Linked DNA regions of Saccharomyces cerevisiae S288C. The gene in region 1 interacts genetically with each later gene. Each region holds a gene or a part of one and is shown in the gene's direction. Other genes may lie near its edges.

What was found.
Region 2: mutations in ATH1 (region 1) and YHR140W together harm fitness more than expected from each alone (negative genetic interaction), as found in Saccharomyces cerevisiae (one large-scale study listed by BioGRID).
Region 3: mutations in ATH1 (region 1) and GFA1 together harm fitness more than expected from each alone (negative genetic interaction), as found in Saccharomyces cerevisiae (one large-scale study listed by BioGRID).

Annotation. Positions count from the first base shown.
Region 1 is NC_001148.4:613,042-620,050, forward strand, and holds ATH1 (alpha,alpha-trehalase ATH1), read left to right. Parts: upstream 1-2,337; coding exon 2,338-5,973; downstream 5,974-7,009. Other genes in the region: TFIIH complex kinase subunit CCL1, read right to left, coding at 336-1,517.
Region 2 is NC_001140.6:378,118-382,239, forward strand, and holds YHR140W (uncharacterized protein), read left to right. Parts: upstream 1-2,454; coding exon 2,455-3,174; downstream 3,175-4,122. Other genes in the region: SPS100 (Sps100p), read right to left, coding at 102-1,082; YHR139C-A (uncharacterized protein), read right to left, coding at 1,991-2,302; 60S ribosomal protein eL42 RPL42B, read right to left, coding at 3,873-4,122.
Region 3 is NC_001143.9:241,726-247,001, reverse strand, and holds GFA1 (glutamine--fructose-6-phosphate transaminase (isomerizing) GFA1), read left to right. Parts: upstream 1-1,628; coding exon 1,629-3,782; downstream 3,783-5,276. Other genes in the region: metalloaminopeptidase APE1, read left to right, coding at 1-864; YKL104W-A (uncharacterized protein), read right to left, coding at 1,716-1,970; SEG2 (Seg2p), read left to right, coding at 4,419-5,276. UniProt on the Saccharomyces cerevisiae protein: Involved in amino sugar synthesis (formation of chitin, supplies the amino sugars of asparagine-linked oligosaccharides of glycoproteins).

The DNA of each region.
Region 1 (7,009 bases):
TGACAAGCCTTAAAAAAGTCACACCATGGAACGGAGTATCGTTGATGATTAAACCAATCATTAATCTTTCATAAAAGTTAAGATAAAAGCACTTGTTGATATATATAGGTACATGTGTATCAATACGCCATACATTGTAAATAGAATATTCAATGGATAAACGTGTGTAGCAAAAATAATCACATTGTAGCGCTAGTTAGCAATTTACTCATTGTCACATTTTTTGCAGTATATATTCATGGCATGAAATAATATAAAATGGCGCCGGTCTATATACCTATGCATCTTAATCTATATATATATATAAAACAGAAACCTACGGTAACAGAGCTGTTTCATGTTTTTTGCTTTTTCTCAACGGTGGACGAAGTATCTTCTCCATTCAACTTCCTTTTTAATTTCTGAATCAGTGTTGATGGATTTTGACAATAATAGTTTTTTGCCGCAATTTTCTTGGCCTCTTCAGTACTCGGAGGTTTACAATCTTCAATAATACTTTTACACTCGCGTATTATGGTTAGTAACTTCGCGGAGTCTATCGAATATTCTTCGCTCTCTGTGGACTTCTCTTTGTTTTTCTCAGTTGTACTGGCATCATTTTGTGGTTCTTCTTTTTCGTTTCCCGGTACTGATTCCTGGCTACCTTCTCTGCTGGGAAATTTTGTTTCTAAATACCTTGTGACCAAGGCTTCATCCTCAATCAATAATGTTGCTAGTGTTATTTGGGGTGGAGTGTAGAAATATACGACATCGGTTAATAATGCGGCAGTTATTCTCTTCTTACACCTATCGTATATTTGGCCCATGTAATTTAAATCAACCTTACCATAAAGGACGTTCTGGATATCTAAGAAAAACCCATGAAGCGGTTTGTAAGGATGATGGTTCAACAGTGAAAATTTCAATGATTCTAACAACTTAAACTCGAATTTGAGAACACTATCTCTAGTAGATTTGGCCTTTTGAGCAAACGAGTCCACGCTAATAAAATAGTTCTCCGATTTGCAGGCTAGAAAGATAGTAGTATGTACAATACTTTTAGGATCTATTTGCATAACAGAATTTTCTAAGAAAAAACGCCTAAAAAAGGATATCGCAGTGGCCACTACTTCGGTTGGCAAATTTAGATGCTGTGCTATTACCTGAACTTTTTTTGCGTAGAAATTCACCAAATCGAGTTCTTCTTCCATTGTCAAAGGGATAGCCTTTGCTTCTAGTACTTTTATTTCTTCTTCTGTTAAATTGTGTGCTTCTCTAAATTTTAATAAATTTTCCTCAATGTAAGCAATCGCTCGGGCATTGGTATCTACCCTTTTCTCCTGAAGTTGATCTTTAGTGTATGACCACATTCTATACTGAGAAGAGTGCCTATATAAATCATCGTCAGAAATTCTTTTGTAGTTCGGTGGCTTGTTATTCTCATCAGCCGATTTTAATTTTGCCTCTTTTTCTTTTGCTGACATGGTAGCAGAAGGAGTATCTAATGTACTCTTTCCATTTAGTTGAATATCCGTCATTCTATCAATATCTGTGCAGCACAGTATTTTCCTCTCTTAAACTTAATATTCACTCATTTGTTTGAGATCTTTCTTAATATAAAAACTGTGTTAAGATCAAATTTATTACCCGGATTGTGAACGGCTTAAACAACGAAGGGATACCGCAGGAAATGAGAGGCCCTTTCTTCTCTGGATGGCAAACAGTTCGTGCTATCAAAGTCTGTACCAAGGTTATTTCACTCTTCAAGCCAGCAATAACTACTTTCTTTCAGGTCACCTCTCAGCCGTCACGTCTCTAGCTGAAGCTTTGTTATTCTCGCTTCACTAAAAACAAGTGTATCTACAATATTTACCAGTCTATTCGTATATCCCTTATCATTCTTTTTCAATAAGGGCAAATACTTCGGAAAAAGAAAGGAACATTCATCTTGATTCTAGCCGTAAAGCTATCACGTTCACTCTAAGCAAGCGGAAAGTTGAGCAAAATCAACGAACAATCTGAGTCAGCAAGGCAGTACAAGCATCTCTTCTTTGCCCCTCAAAATTTATTTCCTTTTTGGTATAGTCTTACTTCCAAGTCCAAGCAAGCACTACGTATCACGACAAACCAACAGCCGCGCCGTTTTTATATTCGGAAAGAGAATTCTTGTCGTTATTGAATAATAATAACAAAATTTCTCCACTTTTCACCATATTACCACTCCCTTTTTTTCAAGTAAAAAAAAAAAAAAAAAGAATCTTATTGCTCCTTAAAAAAGGATTCATCAGTCCTTTATGAGAGCCTGCTAGTATCACCTAATATTGCATCTGTTTTTACCGAAATTTCCTCATTCCAATAATGAAAAGAATAAGATCGCTTTGGTTCAATGCGGAGGCTTCTTATTCAAACCTTAACAATTCTCCTAGTTTGAGGAACAAAAATAGTACCGGTAATAACTCTCGCTCTAAAAATTATCGTTCTTTCTCAAGGTTTGACTTGATCAACTCTATACTTTTACTGATGATGCTATTTTTATTAGCTATCTTCGTCACTGCATTATATTTAACAAAGAGTTCCAGGCTTACATACTCACATGCCTCGAGGGCTGCCCTATTTAACCCTCTGGGTGTGATATCGCCGTCATTGGGAAATCATACGTTGAACTACGATCCAGAAGCAAGGGAATCTTCTAAAAAACTTTATGAACTCCTTTCTGATTTCAACACGGCATATTATGATGATGAGAACATGATTTTGGGAAGTAACTTGTTCTCAAAGAATACATACTCGAGACAACCATATGTTGCTAACGGTTATATAGGTAGTCGTATTCCCAATATTGGGTTCGGCTATGCCTTAGACACCCTGAATTTTTACACAGACGCACCAGGCGCTTTGAATAACGGTTGGCCCTTAAGAAATCATAGATTTGCCGGTGCGTTTGTATCGGACTTTTATTGTCTACAACCAAAACTAAATTCAACAAACTTCCCAGAATTGGATGATGTAGGATATTCCACTGTCATTTCATCTATTCCACAATGGACCAATCTACAGTTCTCATTAGTGAATGATTCTAAGTGGTTCAATCCACAAAATGTTACGTTGGATGACGTAACTAATTATAGCCAAAACTTATCAATGAAGGATGGTATCGTAACTACGGAGTTAGATTGGCTAAACAGTCAAATACATGTTAAAAGTGAAATCTGGGCACATCGGCACATTCATCCACTGGGAGTGGTTTCTTTGGAAATTTCCCTGAATACGGACCATTTACCTTCGGATTTTGATTCATTAGATGTTAATATATGGGATATACTTGATTTCAACACATCACATAGGACTGTTCTACATAGCACGGGAACAGACGAAAAAAATAATGCGGTTTTCATGATTGTTCAGCCAGATAACGTTCCATCTTCTAATTGCGCTATTTACTCAACGTGTACTGTAAAGTATGAAAATTCCACCAATCCAATAAATTCTAGTGAATCTTTTGAAGAAAAAGATGTTTCTTCTAATATTTATAATGTTATTTTGACAGAGGACCAACCCAAGATAATCGTTCATAAGTATGTTGGTATTATGTCTACTGAGTTCAATAAGAACAAAGAACAACAAGACAATACTAATATTGGTTTGGCCAAAATGATAGCTCTAAACAGTAAAGGCAATTACGAGAAGCTTCTGTCAAGTCACAAACGTGCGTGGTATGACCTTTACAACGACGCCTTCATTGAAATTCCTTCTGACAGTCTTTTAGAAATGACAGCAAGATCGTCCCTATTCCATTTACTAGCAAATACAAGAGATTACAATGTCTCGAGCGATAGGGGTCTTCCCGTGGGAGTTTCTGGTTTGTCATCAGATTCCTATGGTGGTATGGTGTTCTGGGACGCAGATATATGGATGGAACCTGCCCTATTGCCTTTCTTCCCAAATGTGGCTCAAAATATGAATAATTACAGAAATGCTACACATTCGCAGGCAAAGTTAAATGCAGAGAAATATGGATACCCCGGAGCAATATACCCCTGGACATCTGGTAAGTACGCTAATTGTACTTCTACGGGACCTTGTGTCGATTACGAATACCATATTAACGTTGATGTCGCTATGGCCTCCTTTTCCATATACTTGAATGGACACGAAGGGATTGATGACGAGTATCTGAGATATACTACATGGCCAATTATCAAAAACGCAGCCCAATTTTTTACTGCTTATGTTAAGTACAATTCTTCCCTAGGATTGTATGAAACATATAATTTGACAGATCCCGACGAGTTTGCTAATCACATCAATAACGGGGCTTTCACGAATGCTGGCATTAAAACACTTCTAAAGTGGGCAACAGACATTGGCAATCATCTCGGCGAGGTCGTTGACCCCAAATGGAGTGAAATTTCCAAAGATATTTATATCCCTAGATCCTCATCTAACATCACTTTGGAATATTCTGGTATGAATAGCTCAGTGGAGATTAAACAGGCGGATGTGACTTTAATGGTTTACCCACTTGGATATATCAATGATGAATCCATATTGAACAATGCAATTAAAGATCTTTATTATTATTCAGAAAGACAGTCTGCGTCTGGGCCTGCAATGACATATCCGGTTTTTGTGGCCGCAGCTGCTGGTCTGCTGAATCACGGCTCTTCTTCTCAAAGTTACTTATATAAATCGGTTCTTCCATACTTACGGGCTCCTTTCGCTCAATTTAGTGAGCAATCAGACGACAACTTTTTAACAAACGGATTAACCCAGCCAGCATTCCCCTTTTTAACAGCTAACGGTGGATTTCTACAGAGCATTCTGTTTGGGTTAACAGGAATCCGATATTCTTATGAGGTTGATCCAGATACTAAAAAAATTAACCGTTTGTTAAGGTTCAATCCAATAGAACTACCGTTGCTCCCTGGTGGTATCGCTATTAGAAACTTCAAATATATGAACCAAGTTTTAGATATAATAATTGACGACCACAATGGTACGATTGTTCATAAATCAGGAGATGTTCCTATTCATATAAAGATACCAAACAGATCTCTAATACATGACCAGGATATCAACTTCTATAATGGTTCCGAAAACGAAAGAAAACCAAATCTAGAGCGTAGAGACGTCGACCGTGTTGGTGATCCAATGAGGATGGATAGGTATGGTACCTATTATCTTTTAAAACCGAAACAAGAGCTTACAGTCCAACTGTTCAAGCCTGGCTTAAACGCAAGAAACAACATAGCGGAAAATAAGCAAATAACAAACTTGACGGCCGGCGTTCCTGGTGACGTTGCATTCTCTGCTCTAGATGGGAATAATTACACGCATTGGCAACCCTTAGACAAAATTCACCGTGCGAAGCTATTGATTGATTTAGGTGAATACAACGAGAAAGAGATTACCAAGGGAATGATTCTTTGGGGGCAGAGGCCCGCAAAAAACATTTCCATATCTATTTTGCCTCATTCTGAAAAAGTCGAAAATTTATTTGCGAACGTGACAGAAATTATGCAAAATTCGGGAAATGATCAACTTCTTAATGAAACCATTGGTCAGCTTTTAGATAATGCCGGAATTCCTGTCGAGAACGTTATTGATTTTGATGGCATAGAACAAGAGGATGATGAATCTTTGGATGATGTGCAAGCCTTATTGCACTGGAAGAAGGAAGACTTAGCCAAGCTAATTGAACAAATACCCAGACTTAACTTTCTAAAAAGAAAATTTGTGAAAATTCTGGATAACGTGCCAGTGAGCCCAAGTGAGCCATACTACGAAGCAAGTCGCAACCAGTCGTTAATCGAGATATTACCCAGTAATAGAACGACTTTCACTATTGATTATGATAAATTGCAGGTGGGTGATAAAGGGAACACAGATTGGAGGAAAACAAGATACATAGTTGTGGCAGTACAAGGAGTGTATGATGATTATGATGATGATAACAAAGGAGCTACAATCAAGGAAATTGTTCTCAATGATTAAATGAAATGATGCATATAAGTAGCGCTTTTTTTAATATTATAAGTTTGGATAAAAGTTACCAATTTTTTCGTAGGATATATATTTTAAAGGCACTATATTGAAAATATCATGCATGCTTATATAAAAGCTTTTTTTTTTCTATAGGGTGACATTTAGGAGCAATAATTTTTACTACAAGCTTTTTTTGCACCTTATATAGTAGTGACCTTGAAATTGGTCTTTTGCACCAGCGTACTTTAATTCCACTAAGTACTGTTTAGCAGCCTGTTTTCCAGAGCCCACAACAGTTTTCTATAAAATTTTCACATGCATTATATAGACATGATCTACCTACCAATTTGATCTTCCTGCCATTGAGATCAGTTCTTTCATTACATTGATTGCACATTTTTAATTGGCGCCTTTTCTAATTTTTTGTATGAGTCCATATTAAAAAAATAGACTTCAAATTCCTACTAGACGATTCTGATTCCATCGGGATTACCACCAGATTTGATATTGGCTCTTCTCTCGTCAGTAGGGTTTGAACAGAAATATTCCTAAATTTCTCGCAACTTAAATTAAATTTGCAACGATAATGTTTGCATACATTTTTATATTCTAGATTCAATACATTAGAGGTAACTTGATGTAGCGCCAATCTGAAAATACAGAAGCCTACTAGGCAAATATTTAAAGCTCTATATACTATTCACGAAAGAAAAACGTACTTTGTATAAATTGAAGAAAATGAGTTTGTGTTAGTTGGGTCCTGCCATTTGGTATCCTGAAGGTTTTCTCAAGGTGGGGTGGGCTAATCTACAGGAATAGTTTATAGTAATTGTGTGTTAAGAAGTATTTTGGCTTTAAATGACGTCCCCCACAAATTTATTACTTCAGGTGTATAATGTATTCACAAATATGTTCGTTTCTTTTTTGCTCTTCATCGTCCCCAGTTTTTCCTCACCCTTACAAAACAAAAACGGCAGGAAAAGGGTCCTATGTAAATTAAGCAAACACTGCGGGGTAGAACCTAAATTTTAATGTATTTTTTTAC
Region 2 (4,122 bases), on another chromosome or scaffold:
ATGTGTTTTTGTTTTTGTTTTTGTTTTTGTTTTTGTTTTTGTTTTTGTTTTTATTTTATTTATTTTTTGCTTATTTTCGTAGTACACAACACATAATCATCTTATTGTTGACTAACAGGGAAGATTTGTTGTAACTCGCTACTACTTGTGACTTGATTATGGATAGCAATAGACAACAAAGTTTGCGCTTGGATTGGTGACAAGTACCCAGCAGAAATTGCACCTTGTGGAATACTTGTGTTACTTATGAACCCAATTCCTGAACCATCATGACCACTGGATCCATCACTTGCATAAACGACAGGGAAGTCGACCGATGTCCATGATGCCACGGTACTGTTGTGACTTGTACCAGAGCTGACAACAACCAAACCTTGGATACTAGAACTTAGTGATTGAATTAAGCTTTGAGAATATCCTTCTTCGTATATAATTGGAACCAATGGACTGGAGGATGATGAGGATGTATTGGTCCCGGAGGAGGCATTAGAAGATATTTGTGCGCTCGTAAAATTCGAGTATTGAGTTCTGATTGTGGAGTTGCTGGCAATCAGAGTTGGCTCACAGGCATCAAAGAACCATTGAACATTCTTCTGACCAGACAAAACGCCCACAGGAACAGTGTAAGGAGGGAAAACACCAGAATACACAACTTTATCTCTACCGGCAACCAAAGTGCCTCTACCTTCCGCGTCCGAACTACTCAATATTGGTACACCCCATAAGAAATTCTCAGTAATGACAATGGTCTTTGATGTATTAAAAACGATTGAGCAGAAGAAACTCAAAGTTTCAATGGAACGCCAGTTTGTGACGATTATAATGCCGGAAGACGATTCGCTTTGTAAAGTCTGATTAACTTGAGTAGCAATTTGGTAAAGTTGAGTGATGTTTAAGGTGGAAGTAGAGTTGAATAGCGTTGTGGTAGTAACGTTTGACTGGCTACCAGATACAGCAGGTCCACCCGTGATGATCACGGGGACCGTACCGCCGCCAGAAGTAACGTTCTGCCTCTTGTAAAGTGGTGTTGCAGAAGCTGTTAAAGTTGCAAGAAAAAATGCTAGCACTGATGTGAATTTCATAATAGCTGATTGGGTTCTTAGATGTGAAAACTGATCGAAATCAAATACTAGAGCATGATTGATAGGAACAAGAGAAACCAAAAGTGTTTTTAGCTTTCCTCCCAATTTTTATAGTATTCTAATGAGTAACGTCTTAGGGGAATTTTCAACAAGGCATTTCTAAAAGGGGATGCTAGTTGCACATTCTGAGAGAATCATTTGTACACGTTTTTCCCTATTTTCTGCTCATAAACCGAGGATCATCAGCGTTAAATGTAATTGCTAAGCCAAGAACTTTTGCTACTCTAACATTACATATTTGAAGGGTACAGTGAGATTCCCCAACAGGAATTCGCTTCTGTACATCAGCCGGTATTCGCTGAGAACTACTGTAGCCCTTAACTGTTGAATGATCTTTTTCTGGTAGATCATCGGCTTCTTTTGACGCAGGAAAAGGCCCGTGTCACTTCGGCTTAGCTTCTTTCGGCGATTTTCAAGGGAAGCGTCTGCACCTTAACGCAGACAAATGACGCATGATATGCACCCTTAAGGCGGACTTGATCTTCAGATCCCTCAAATGGTAAATGTGCCATAAGGTGGCCAAATTCCAACTAAAAATGATAAATAGGTAATGAATTGTTCACTATGCAGCGTTGCCACCGTTACGCCTCCCCCTTATTTTTCATTTCCGTTTCCATCCAGTTTTTCAGCCTCCTTGAACCCTACCATTAGTAATGGAAGCAATAATCTCATAGCAGCAATTGAAAAAAAAAAAGCATATTCGCTCACATTAAAATAATGAGATAACATGAGATGGCTTGGAATTATAAGCGTTCGCTGACCTGAAAAAGGCGCGGGGCTAATGGACCCATTCGTTAAAATGACCTTAAGCATCCACACATGCAGAATAAAAGAACTTAACCTATTCCTTAGGAAAGTTTATGTATTTGCTGGTACCCTCTTCCTTCTTTGGCCTCTTTTCTGACGTGAATGTCACATGTTAACATTTTTGTCAAATAGCGTCCATCTATTTGAACAAATGCTATCATTTTTGGGGATACAAATTCTATAAGAGGTTCCTGTTTGCAGCATCTAAAAACAGAGCGTGAAACGCATGCAGAAGTGACATATAATCCTTTGTTTAAGCGACAATTAAAAATAATGATCGCTCTCTTTTCCTTTTCAGACTTGCTCATTAAATTTGACAAGATCCGCGGATTAGAGAAGTCTGCGCTTCGCATTTAATGAAAAGATCTCCGATAAGTATATAAGTCCCTTTTTTCTCGAATTATATAAGTCACTTTCTATATGTCAGTGATTATCTCTACACTAGTCTTGCTGTATTCTTAGCAAATTTTTCTCGTATTTTAAAACCATAATACAAGGAGAATCCATGATGTCTTGTCTGGTACCAACACGTTTTACTTTGACCCTTAACACCGCGTGTCTTTTGACGAGCACCTGGGGGTTTGTTAGGGCCACATCTGTAGTCTTACCTCCAAGTTTAAGTAAAGCAGGCCATAAACAGTTTCTAACCATTATATCTATTATTGCAACAATCATTAATAACGCGGTTAACATTTCTAATTATTATATCCAAAGAAACAATAAGATGAATCTAGAAACCAAGAAAAAATCAGACTTTATTAGTAGACATGTCACTTTGCCAGTTTCTTTAGTATTAGAATCTATTGTTGCTACCGTTTATTGGCCGCTTAGATTGTTTTTTGTCAACTTAATAATGCATGGAGTTGAATCTACTGCAAAGACACCTTTTCCTATGACAGTGGATATGGCAATCCACTTATATCCTATTTTATATTTACTAGCCGATCACTACTTATCGGGATCTGGCACGAAATTCAAATTATCGAATAAGCATGCATGGCTCATTGTAACCAGTTTAGCATTTTCATATTTTCAATATTTAGCATTCCTGATAGATGCGGGGCAAGGCCAAGCCTATCCATACCCGTTTCTAGACGTGAACGAGCCGTACAAGTCGATTATATTTGTTGTTGTTGCTACTATTACGTGGGCTTATTATGTATTTTATCAAAAGTTTCCGCCAAAATACATCAAGAAGTCGGCAAAGAAAGGTGATAAGAATTAGCATTACTACTAGTATACTACTATTTAAGCTCTTTGTATGTAAAGTGAGCAAATCTCAAATTTTGCTACTTAATTCTTATTTTCGTGCTAGCCCTACAACGGAACCCAAAAAATCAATCACCAGGGTAAGCGGGAAAAAAAAAAAGTGTAGGAACCGCACTATAAAAAGTCGAAGGTTTGTATTAATTTTCCACACCTCTTTAGTTTTGTTATAATCAAATTCCTTTTGGTTTTTGTTTTAAAAAGGCCAACATCATAATTATATCGCGAATGTACTACTAGTATATGCAGTTTTCTTAAAATTGCAGGGAATGACTAAAAGCCCACGTTTTTCCCACTTTTAGTAGTACTGAAGCGTAGATAGATTGAACGTTGCTGGGCGCCTGGTGTTGATCATTTCTGAAATGAGATATTGGGAATCAGCTGTATCTACATTTTATTTATACATATTTATTTTTACTGGTTCTTAGTAACGTACTTTAGTAGCAATGCTGTGTTTTAGTGCGAACGCCTACGTGTCTTGTTAACTTATCATGGTTGCCAACGCGAACGTTTACAACAGGTTCAAAGGCAGGATGAAAAATTACGCCAAATAGGCAGGTTTTCAATATTAAAGAGTTAAGTATGCAAAATTTACAAAAAGTTAATGGTCAAAGTATAACTATAAAAATATAATAAAACAATAAACAATAACAACTCTCAGAATTGCAAAGCTTGACCCTTTTGCTTCTTTTCACCACCCAATTCGAAGTGCTTACATCTCTTCAAGGTTAATTGGGCTCTAGTCTTACATTTGACACATTCCAATCTCAAAACAACCTTCTTGGTAGTCTTAGCTTTCTTGTGGAAAACAGGCTTGGTTTGACCACCGAAACCAGATTGTTTACGGTCATAACGTCTCTTACCTTGAGCGAACAAGGAAGCCTTACCAGCTTTGTATTGAGTAACC
Region 3 (5,276 bases), on another chromosome or scaffold:
GTCATCGGCTTCCCCACTCCGGATGAGGAAGGTAATGAACCTCCCACGGATGATGAAAAGAAATCGCCCTTATTTGGCAAACACTGCATCCACCTGTTAAGGTACGTTGCCAAATTAGCCGGTGTGGAAGTGTCCGAATTGATTCAAATGGATTTAGACTTATTCGATGTGCAAAAGGGTACCATTGGAGGTATTGGTAAACACTTCCTTTTTGCACCACGTCTAGATGACAGGTTGTGTAGTTTCGCAGCAATGATTGCTTTGATTTGCTACGCTAAGGATGTTAATACCGAGGAATCAGATTTATTCTCTACTGTCACTTTGTATGATAATGAAGAAATCGGATCGTTGACAAGACAAGGCGCAAAAGGTGGCTTGTTGGAGTCAGTGGTGGAACGCAGTTCTTCTGCATTCACTAAGAAACCGGTCGATTTGCATACGGTTTGGGCTAATTCCATCATCTTGTCCGCAGACGTCAACCACCTCTACAACCCAAACTTTCCTGAAGTCTATTTGAAGAATCATTTTCCAGTGCCTAATGTCGGAATCACTTTATCACTGGATCCTAACGGTCATATGGCCACAGATGTCGTAGGAACTGCCCTAGTAGAAGAATTAGCACGCCGCAATGGAGACAAAGTGCAATATTTCCAAATCAAAAACAACTCAAGATCAGGTGGTACTATCGGCCCATCATTGGCTTCTCAAACAGGTGCTCGTACCATAGACCTGGGAATTGCACAGTTGTCCATGCACAGCATCAGAGCTGCTACAGGGTCCAAGGATGTCGGATTAGGTGTTAAGTTCTTCAACGGATTTTTCAAGCACTGGAGATCAGTCTACGATGAATTCGGCGAGTTGTGATTTTGCCACACTCTTTTTATTTCTTTTGATTTCTGTTTCTTTATCCTTTTTCTAAAAATACTTTTATTTCGAATCAGGAAGAAAAGAAAAATGTATAAAAAAAAAAAAATAAAACACCACAATCGTCAAGATATAAATATCTATTTATAAATAAAACATCAAAAATACCTAAACCCCAAACATTCTACTAGGAAAGAATATTAACAGTAACCACGAACTATAAAAAATGCATTTGAACACCAATGTGGGCCTTGACAGCCGTATTAGATGAAACAAACCACATACTTTTCTTGATTAGCCAAGCATTCTTTCTTTTGTGACGCCGTCGATCACTCAAATATCAATCCGGGTAACGCGCGGCTCCCTACATTTTCTTCGATTTTTATCTTTTTTTCACAAATCGAAAACATTAGACTTCCTCTTTGGGAAATCGGATGCATTTTAGCGTTTCTGAGGCGACTTTTCCTCTTCTTAAAATATTTATTTAGTGTCTTACATTCGACCCTTTTCGCCTTTCTGCTTTATTTTTGGAACACGTACTTCTTTTCGCTTACAAGAAAGCATTCTCAGTCATCCATCACACTTATTTTCACTGCAAAGTTACAGAACCGGTGTCCTTTCCAACATCATAGTTATATAGTTGAGAAAAAGTGGACAAAAAGCCAGCATAAACAAGGAATAACTGTATTTCTTTTCTTATATAGTTATCAGGGCCAAATAAGCAATAAGTTCTCGAGCAAATCAACAGCAACTTTTATAAAAAAATGTGTGGTATCTTTGGTTACTGCAATTATCTAGTGGAAAGATCCAGAGGAGAAATTATCGACACCTTAGTGGATGGTTTACAAAGATTAGAATATAGAGGCTATGATTCCACCGGTATTGCTATCGATGGTGACGAAGCTGATTCTACTTTCATCTATAAGCAAATCGGTAAAGTGAGTGCTTTGAAAGAGGAGATTACTAAGCAAAATCCGAACAGAGACGTTACTTTTGTCTCTCATTGTGGTATTGCGCATACTAGATGGGCTACTCACGGTCGACCAGAACAAGTTAACTGTCACCCTCAAAGATCTGACCCAGAAGACCAATTTGTGGTCGTTCATAATGGTATCATCACAAATTTTAGAGAACTGAAGACTCTTTTAATTAACAAAGGTTATAAATTCGAAAGTGATACCGATACCGAGTGTATTGCTAAACTATATTTGCATTTATACAATACAAATTTACAAAATGGGCATGACTTAGATTTCCACGAATTAACCAAGCTAGTTCTTTTAGAACTAGAAGGTTCATACGGGTTATTATGTAAATCTTGTCACTATCCTAATGAGGTTATCGCCACTAGAAAAGGGTCCCCTTTACTGATTGGTGTCAAATCTGAAAAAAAACTAAAAGTCGACTTCGTGGATGTGGAATTTCCCGAAGAAAACGCTGGTCAACCGGAAATTCCATTGAAATCTAACAACAAATCATTTGGCTTGGGCCCAAAGAAAGCTCGTGAATTTGAAGCTGGTTCCCAAAATGCCAATTTACTACCAATTGCCGCCAATGAATTTAACTTGAGACATTCTCAATCCAGGGCTTTCCTATCAGAAGATGGATCTCCAACACCGGTGGAATTTTTTGTTTCTTCGGATGCGGCATCTGTTGTTAAACATACCAAGAAGGTGCTATTTTTAGAAGATGACGATTTGGCTCATATTTACGATGGTGAGTTACATATTCATAGATCTAGAAGAGAAGTAGGCGCATCAATGACAAGGTCCATTCAAACTTTAGAGATGGAGTTAGCTCAGATCATGAAGGGCCCTTACGACCATTTTATGCAAAAGGAAATCTATGAGCAACCAGAATCTACTTTCAATACTATGAGAGGTAGAATCGACTATGAAAATAATAAAGTGATATTGGGTGGTTTAAAGGCATGGTTACCAGTTGTCAGAAGAGCACGGAGACTGATCATGATCGCATGCGGTACTTCTTATCATTCATGTTTGGCTACTCGTGCTATCTTCGAAGAATTATCAGATATCCCAGTTAGTGTGGAATTAGCGTCTGACTTTCTGGACAGAAAATGCCCTGTCTTCAGAGACGATGTATGCGTGTTTGTTTCACAAAGTGGTGAAACTGCGGATACCATGCTGGCTCTAAATTATTGTTTAGAAAGAGGAGCCTTAACTGTCGGAATTGTTAACAGTGTTGGTTCTTCTATCTCTCGTGTCACCCACTGTGGTGTTCATATTAACGCTGGTCCTGAAATTGGTGTTGCCTCTACAAAAGCTTATACTTCCCAGTATATTGCCTTAGTGATGTTTGCTCTATCGCTGTCAGATGACCGTGTATCGAAAATAGACAGAAGAATTGAAATCATTCAAGGCTTGAAGTTAATCCCGGGCCAAATTAAGCAGGTATTAAAGCTGGAACCAAGAATAAAAAAGCTCTGTGCGACTGAATTAAAGGATCAAAAATCTCTATTGTTATTGGGTAGAGGTTACCAATTTGCTGCTGCTCTGGAAGGTGCTTTGAAGATCAAAGAAATTTCTTATATGCATTCTGAAGGTGTTTTGGCAGGTGAGTTGAAGCACGGTGTCTTGGCCTTGGTGGACGAAAACTTGCCAATCATTGCTTTTGGTACCAGAGACTCTCTATTCCCTAAAGTAGTTTCCTCTATTGAGCAAGTTACTGCAAGAAAGGGCCATCCAATTATTATTTGTAACGAAAATGATGAAGTGTGGGCGCAAAAATCTAAATCAATCGACCTGCAAACCTTAGAAGTTCCACAAACTGTTGATTGTTTACAAGGTCTAATTAATATTATTCCATTACAACTAATGTCATATTGGTTGGCTGTTAATAAAGGGATTGATGTTGATTTTCCAAGAAACTTGGCTAAATCTGTTACCGTCGAATAAATTAACCCTTTTACTTTCTCTTCGTCCCCCAGCCTCCCATCCGTCTTTCTACTATCACTTCTCCTTCGCTTTTAATTTTTGAACTTCCATTATTCTGCAATGCGCACTACAAGCTGGCGTTAAAGATGATTCCACTTGTATTCTCTATATAAATAAAAAATTATATTTTATATGAATAACCAAAAAGATAGTTGCAGCCCTAAATTAGACCTGCTAAATAAATGTGTTCTAACTTTGTTACAATTTTTAAACCATATAACTTCCTTCTTGTAAGTCCTCTAAAATAATATTAAACCCTATCCTGAGTTGGGCCCTGCGTTTTACCCGCAGGAATAGGCCCGATGATTGATTATCCACATCAACTTTTGGTGAAATTCGAGAGAAAATAAATGGGAAGTGAACGAGCAATAGGCAATCAACAAAAAAAAAAAAGGGTTAGGAAATTCGCTATTGTAAAGAGGCAATTTTTAAAATTTAGAGTGAAAATCGCCATTCCATCTTCTTCATATTCTTCGTTCAAATTACACAATTATTGCGGGAGGAAATAGCATTTATTAACCCTAATAATCAACATAAGGCAGATAGCTCTGAAAGAGGCAAGTATCAACAAATAGTGGGAGCATTGGAAATAGCGGGATGATCCAAGAAAGTAGTCCAGATGCCTTAGCAGCAGCAGCAGCAATTGGAAATGCGCTCAGTTATAATGGGAGGACCGTTGACAAGAGTAAAATACCGCAATACAATCAGAGTTTTACCTCTCGAACTACGTCAATCGCAGGGATTAATAGGTATACAATGCTCTCGAATTCTAGGACTAACTCAAGGATGCTCTTAATGAATGGTAACGTTCGCCAATACTCTAAGCGCACGTCGAGTTTGCCAAACCAAGGACATAAGAATACCTCTAATAATTCGGCGGGGAGAAGGCAACACAGGGCTCACGAGGATGCAGAAACCACGTTTCGAGAATTTGGAGGCAAGCAGTCATCGAAGGTTTTAAACATTTCAAGTTCGACTGGTCAGAATAGTAAATCAAGGACCACATCACTTGGGAACTCAGGCAGCACAATAAGGACGATAAAAAAATACATACCAGGCCCTAGGGGGTTAATGGCTGTGGAAGTACCCGTGGAAGTAGAGCCTCCTAGATACAGTCTGAGCAACCGCTCAAACCAACGAGGTGGTAGAGCATATTCTTTGCCTACTCGAAACAACAAAACTAGTCTAATGCATAGGAATAAAACTACTAAGAAAGCAGGATCACAAGAGAAAAAAAGTGAAAGCGGCGGTAAATCAAAAAACGATTATCATGGCAAAGTATTATCTAAAATGCATACTACATCATTAAAGCAACGGCATAACAATGTTCCATTAATACCAACAACTATGAACGAGGAAACGGAACAAGAACTGCAAGAGGATCTTCATGATCCTTTAGAATTTAAACCCATGATTATATCCGATGACGAAAACTCTTTTATTGAACCCAGCGTT